2 linked regions of the Tribolium castaneum genome follow. The protein of the gene in region 2 purifies or fractionates together with the protein of the main gene of each other region. This does not show direct contact. Links are inferred from orthologs where the notes say so. Each region holds a gene or a part of one and is shown on either strand. Other genes may lie near its edges.

Region 1 (3,062 bases), on a different chromosome or scaffold from region 2:
AGCCCCCGCATGTTCTAGCCCCTCCGGCGGTGCCCCAGGTCAACGGAGCCGTGCATCCTGACGATATCAACGTGATGCCCGGACCGGTGCCCCATGTCAACGCCGCGGGCCAAGGACAGGTCCTTCCGACACCCATCACCACCATCCAACCTTCGACGATTGTACCACCGTTGAATGCCGCGGCACCGGTTGAGGAAGCCCAGAACGAAGTCCAAAACGAGGAGCCGCAGGAAATTAATTACAATGAAGGGAACGAACAGGACAATGAACAGGATTTGAACCAAGAGCCGGGTTTGTCATTTTTGGAAAAATGTAGATTCTTGTTAACTTTTTTTTACAGTTGCGTCTAATGAACCCAAAACTTATGCCAACTTGTTGAAATCGGGCAATAGCGTACCGTTTAATAACCCACCTTTGGGTACTTCCCCGGCCCAACAACCACGATCTGTATCACCGGTAATGAAAACTAATCGTGTTTTTGCCAAATTTTGATTGTTGTTTTAGCCGAATATGGGGCCTAGAGGAGAACAAGGAGGCCTCGGAAACCGCAACAGCATGAACCGGGGACCTAGAGTTAACCAACAACGAGTCCAGAAGCAAGATTCGGGTCGCGGAGCCCCAGGCCGGCCCTCTTTTAACGAAGAAGGTACGTTTTAAATAATTTAGAATTACACGATCGTTTAATTATTTTTTTTTCAGATGATAGGAAACGACCTCAAGGAAACAGTTTCGGCGATCAAAACCAGCTGTTCTTGGGCAATTTGCCCCACAATGCGACCGAGGACGAGCTGCGCGAGATTTTCTCCGAGTTTGGTTCAATTCTCGACTTGAGGATTCACACGAAGCCGGCCAACAAAGTAACACTTCCCAACGGTCGCGCTCCACCAAACTACGGTTTCATAACTTATGAGACGCAAAGTGGTGTCCAGAATTGCTTAGCCGCGAAGGTAGAGCAGTTTAAAAAATAATGGTTTGGTTTGTTTGAGCTGTCTTTTTCAGCCGATTTATTACCCGAAGGATGACAAGAACGGCACTCAGTTGAACGTGGAGGAGAAGAAGACGAAGGATCGTCAGTCGTACGGGAGCGGTCGTCCGAGCAGCAACGATAACCGCTCGCGCGACTCCGGGCCTCGTCGGAGCGGCCCGGGCCTGGGGGGAGCCAATAGGAACAACGCAACGGGAGGGAGTCAGTCGGGTATAATCCCGAATCGGACCAATAACTACAACAGAGGCGGGGGACCCCCGAACCGAGGGCCGAACACTTACAATCGTCGCTAATAAGTGAACTTCGCGCGAACGAATTGTGAATGGGACGTGTACAGTGTTCAAGAACGGATCATGACGTTAGTGCCAATAGTGGTTCATTAGCTGCATATTTACATCAAACCATTTCTTTTTTTCTCTTGTTTAGGATTGTTGCGCAATGTCCGAAGCGATATCCGCCAATCAATACTAATAGTTCTCTTTTTCAAGTACTTATTGGCTGTGTTGTATAATGCGATTGGTTGATGAAAAAATCGGTAACGTTCGGAGGTTGAGTAACGATAAAAACAATGTTTCGAGCATAGTTTTATGGTTTGAACTTAAATATAAGCAGGTCACCACGGGTCGTACGTTACAATTATTTTACATAACCTAACAGCTGTATGCATGTTGATGTTAGTAGCTGCTAACTCGTAACTAAATTTTCTACTAGATACTTATTTTTTATTTTTTAATGCCAAATGTACATTATATAGGGAGTGTACATAAATAAAAATTTAAATTGAAAAAAATAGTCTTTTTATGTGAGCTGATATTAACGGAATCAGTAGAAAATTTAGTGTATTTAGCTTCTAAGGTCACCTATTCATATGGTTCTAAACATAATTTAGGATTTTGCGCTCGTATTTTCAGTTACTCTAAGTATTTATGTTTTTAAGGCTCATTCGGTTCTTTCTCCCGAAAATTATTTTATTCAGTTGTCAACACCAAGCGCAACGTAATTACTATGCACATTAGAAAAATTTTACTTTTTGCAGCTAACCAGTTTTGGTTTGATCAAAATTTTAAATCACTCAGCCGTCATTTTTTGTTGCGTACTCTTAAAGTGTTTGTGTCCACATTAAGTTAAAGTTACATGTGAATAAGTGGAGGGTGTAATCCCCATTTTATTTAAGGTAGCATGTGAAAGTGTTTTGTTAATTTTTATAAATTTGTCTGGTGAAAAAGTGGAATGTTATTTACAGGCTTAGTTTCACTTTTTTTTATTCCCTAAAGTTTTGTTACAGTATTTGTTCCTTTTCTCCTGTGATAATCACATTTCCTCTCAAAAGTATACTCGACACAGTTTTAACCAAAGTTCTTCCTTCGCTAAACTAAGACTTGTGCAGGTTCCACTAGTCACAAATCTACTTTCAGGATCTTTTCAGTTTGTCGTTCCTGTAATATTGTCAACTTGTTATTAGTAACATTAAAGGAAATTGTTACAGCGACCGCTGTTTTTCTTTCTCCCTCACACACACATCCTCAACTCAAAAAATTAAACATTAACAGCACTTGCATCGTTGGTTGCATACCTTCGCCACACGAAAAAAAACTACTATTTATTAATTTCAGTCTCAAGTTAATTTCATTGACAAAAAATACTTAATAAATGAGCCATAAACATTTTAATTTTTCTTAAAATTTAACGAAGGGGTCACCCTATATCTTCGAAACCAACATTCCGACTCAAAAATCTGGCTTATTTAATTCAGCTCAATAGCCAAAGCGCCAGTTACTTAACATTTGTTTCAACAATCAATTAAACTGATGTCACAAAGCGCTGTTTGATTAAAAAAACACATATGGGTCGTCCAGATGTTAACTTGTGCTTAAGCCCCGTTTAAATTTTACCCACGTCATAACAAGTTTATAAATTTATGATGGGAGGAAAGAGACGAGAGAGTGGGATTTGAGGGAATTTATCTCCGGTTTGTGGGCGATGCTTCTCTTTAGCCGCTTGCTGTAATTTATTCCAGTTGGTGTGGTGCTCGAAGGCGGCCACATAACAAAAACTGGTAAGTATGAATTACTTAATG
Region 2 (4,273 bases):
CTAGTGTAAATACATTAAACGTAAATTCCCCATCGTTTTCCTCATAAAAATTGAATTATGCATTTCGTAATCAAATTCCTGAAAACTTTGATATCTCTAGGAACGAAAATTGATTAAAAATTGTTTTGCAAAGAAAATTTAAAATATTTCACCAAAAATTCTTTTTGAATGTATGATGAGATTGATAAGTATGCATTTATTAAAAAAAACTAATTGTACAGTAACGTAATTTCAAGCAAGAAACACACCTAATCTTCCTTACCTTTTTATAAGAATTATAAATTATAAGAAACGAATGATCTAAAGCAGAGAATAGACTTTCATTCAAAGTTATACATAAAATAATTTTTTCAAAAAAATCATGTTTTTCACTATCCAAATATTCCATATAAGTAGGTTATTTCCTCCCGAAGAAGCAAAATATTTCATTTAAAAAAAATACATTAATTGATTATCCTGATGAGACGCCGAAGAAAAATAAATCAAAATTTCTATTGAAGAAGATTCCTCGGCTATCGCCTTATCTTACCCGTGTGGTTCGTTGCGGCCACCGTGCTGTTATCCCACGTGTTGGAGTTATCCCAGGTGTCGATGGGTTTGTTATAGGCGTTGCTCCGACTTCCCCTCGGCGGATATCTGCCTCCAGCGCGTCCGCCGCCCCTTCCTCGACCGCCTCCAGGACCACGCGTCGATCCCCCAGGTCTGCCGCGACGATCGCGGTGGAAATCACGACCGCCACCGCCGCCCTCTTCGAGGTTACGCTCGTTTTCTTGTTTCTCTCGGCCACGCCACCCGCGGCTGTCATTATGTCGGCCGTGGAGACGAGGCGGACCGCTCTTGTTCCGCGGTTTGTCCTTCTCGTTGCCGTTGCCGGCACCGCCGCCCCCGCCGGCAGATGGGACGTCGTTCCAATCGTCGCCGCCCGCAGACTCCTCTATCTTTTCCTGCTTGCTGGCGGACGCTTGGCGGTTCTTTTTCTTCTTAACTCTAGTCTCCCACTCACCCTGATAACACAAAACCAGACTTCTTATTACGCGAACACCAAATTAAAAACGAAAGGAAAATACATACTTATTAAAAAACGGAACCAGACGACCATGGGAAGAAACCAGTTAAGATTTTTTTATTCGCTACTGTCACAAAAAATAAAACTAACGTTTTGTTCCTCCATGGTATTACAAATACATCCCATTAAAAAGTAGAAGAAAAAAATTATTGTCATTAAATGTTGATGCCACGTCGTTTAGCCTTGACCATGACAAATTGATGTAATTTCCGGAATAGTAAATAAACAATTTTTAGTTATTAACAATAACCAAATTTTAATGGTTATTTTTTCAAAAATGTAACATATAATTATTATAATACGAGTTAAGGTTACAACTGTGTGAGAAGTTTTATTACTAAATTAAAACCAAAAAATGCAACCTCAAACATAAACCACTCTCATTTCACATTCTACTTATATTTTATCACTCTGTCTTTCCCTTTTTCTCTAATTTCAGTAAGTTTAAGATAACATTTTACGTTTTAAATATACATTTAACAAAAAATAGAATTTCTAGAATTCCCATAAGTATCCGTTACTTATTACCAGTTTACACGATAGGATAGTAGTTTTACGTAGTTCACTATTAAATAAAACAATACAATAAAATCGAAGAATACGTTGTTTACTTATGCTTATCAGATATCCTATTGTTTAATGATTTAATAATGTTTTGTTTTGAGTTTTTGACAGCAACTAGCGACACCAGCAAAACAATGGCAGAAAAGACGTGAATTCTGTGAAACGCTATAAACTGCTTGAGTAGGGCGACTACAAAACTTTTTTTTAATTTATTTACTACACGATTTACGAAAAGAATCAGTTTAAGAGCAGTAAACTAAAACAATACTCACTTGCCCCATATTTTCCAAAAGCATGTTCATGGCCGCGTTTTCATCATAGTCGCAATCATGTAGAGCAAGACAAACCTCCTCTTCAGACCTCTGAGACATCTCCATCAGCTTCTTCACTTTGTCCTTAATGAAAGGATCTTCTGATTTTGCATGTGTGTTATCTCTGCTTGCTTGCTGCTTGTCTGAGCCTTTCCCTGAGACACGCATCTTAGTCCCCGCATTGCCAAAAAGCCCCCCGAACTCACCTGTGTCGGATTTATCTGATTTGTGTGTTTTATTGTCAGTCTTTGACCCTTTCCCACCTTTAGAGGTGGTTCGATTGCTCGAACTCATGATTTGTACAGTATGTACAGTGTACTATTTACAAACTATCTGTAAAAAATAAACTCAATGAGTAACATATTTTTCGGAAGAGTAAATATCGCCGCCGTTGCGAAATAACTGGATTTTCCGGCAATAACAAAGAGGCATCAGGGGGCTAGCCGCGCGTGAGGCGGATGAGAAAAATAGCAGCTCTGGGGGCAAATTGGGGCGCGCACGGCGGGATGGAAGCCCCCGGTGGCCGACGACCGCTTTTATACCATGTGGAGGGACGCCATTTCAGAGCTTGTAAAGCAGTTCATGACAACCAAACAGAACGAGGAAATTACGCGATTTCGGAGAAATTTGACTCGATCGAGGGCTGGAAATCGGGGGCTGGGGCCCAAATTGCACACCATACCTCAACAAGCACTCACTAACGGTCTTAAATCAATCGAAAACGACAACGTTAACCATACCTGTATAATTCAGTAAAACCACAACGCACTAGTAACTGGTCACGTGATCACGAAAATGGCGGATGGACGTTTGCCAAAGCGCGCCAAATTACCGACCGAGACTGACGCTTTTGTCTTTGATTTTCAAATTTGACAAAATAAATACAAAATTTCCGTTTTGATATTTTGTTTATCACTAAAAACTCTAATTCTTGGCCACAGCTGTAAGACAGTTAAACCTAAACTTGAGCTGTAACTGGTGAAGTCATTTTTTTTGTACTTGATTAATTTGAATGGAAATGCCGCGGAAGTGGCTACGGTGCCTGCATTTTTTTATTCTTTGTTCTTTTATTTATTTCATTTTATAACGTTTCATTAAAACGCAACAATATTATTCGCTTATTTTGCTTTTTTGTAACTTATGCATTCGAGTTTTGTTTTTCCGATACATGTTTTTGTATGCAATTTGTACTTCTTGTAAGGTAAATGAACTGGTTCATGGACGAGCGTCAATAAGAATCACGGAAGAACTTTGTTAAAAGAATCTCAAGAACATTAGACGGTCACAAATATGTTAATAGAAAAAAATACAGAAAAATAAACAGCGCAAGTTTCAATTTTGTTTTGAATTAAGGTAGATGGCAGGAACAATTAAATAATTTATTATAAAAATTATAACAGTGGCTTAAAACTGTATAAAAACAATGCATCTTAACAATTAAAGTTGTTGGAATAAGTGATTTTCTTGCTTTAGCCACCATTGATGTCTCTTGTTTCTCTCCACCGACCGTCCTACTATATTTTTAAAACATAAAAGTTATTAGAAATCCTGAAAATAATATTAGAACAAATTGGCACATTAAACCAACATCTTCTTTACGTATTTTAAATTTTTATTTAAATCACCCTCTTCAGCAAAAATTAAGTCTCATGACCCAAAATTACTTCCCGAAAATTTCAACATCACCAAATATATTTCATAAATTAATAATTATCCATTTAATTTAATCAACAAAATTTTATCTAATGATAACAATGACCAACTTAATTTGTTAAATTGTAAAAATTCCGGTTATAACTTCTTCAACTTCAAACTCACTCTTTTAAATATTGTAGATTAATAAATATCCCACTGATCAGAAAAAAATTGTAACACTGTTTAATTCATGATTGTCTGAAATTAGTCATCTATTATAACAAAAAAACATTAAATCAAGTCTTTAGCAAATTAAAATAAGAAACCTTCTAAACTGGAAAAAATATTAGTTTTTCGAATTAGTTGTAAATCGTGTAATCAAATTTATAATGTAAAACTAATCTAACAGTCTTAGCTAATCATGTTAAAGAAACAAAACCTGAATTTGACTTTGATGGTGTTGAAATTCTTGATGAATGAACGCATTAGATACAAAAAAGTCTTACCTCCAAAACAATAAAAAAATTGCTGTTAATTCCAAATCAAATGCTGATAAACTTAGTGAAATTTACAAATTCCGTATTATGAAAAAGTCAAAGCATTAGAAAATAACAGTCATCAAATTTTTAACATGTTTTTTTTTGTTTTTTAAGTACTATTGTGACTAAGATATTAAATATAACCTTTTTCACATTAA

The links. Proteins that work in one complex are often made in the same cells at the same time.
Region 1: the proteins of lig (region 2) and rin purify together in Drosophila melanogaster (affinity purification with western blotting; 3 studies listed by BioGRID, with this or other methods). This does not show direct contact. The link is inferred for Tribolium castaneum from reciprocal best matches to the Drosophila melanogaster genes lig and rin.

The regions. Positions count from the first base shown.
Region 1 is NC_087397.1:6,616,734-6,619,795, reverse strand, and holds the end of rin (ras GTPase-activating protein-binding protein 2), read left to right. Parts: coding exon 1-291; intron 292-340; coding exon 341-456; intron 457-504; coding exon 505-646; intron 647-699; coding exon 700-947; intron 948-999; coding exon 1,000-1,278; 3' UTR 1,279-2,474; downstream 2,475-3,062.
Region 2 is NC_087396.1:16,160,835-16,165,107, reverse strand, and holds the start of lig (protein lingerer), read right to left. Parts: upstream 2,810-4,273; 5' UTR 2,682-2,809; exon of another isoform or gene 2,624-2,681; intron 2,275-2,623; 5' UTR 2,236-2,274; coding exon 2,148-2,235; intron 2,097-2,147; coding exon 1,903-2,096; intron 1,005-1,902; coding exon 530-1,004; intron 1-529. UniProt on the Drosophila melanogaster protein: Acts in the nervous system to mediate the control of copulatory organs during courtship.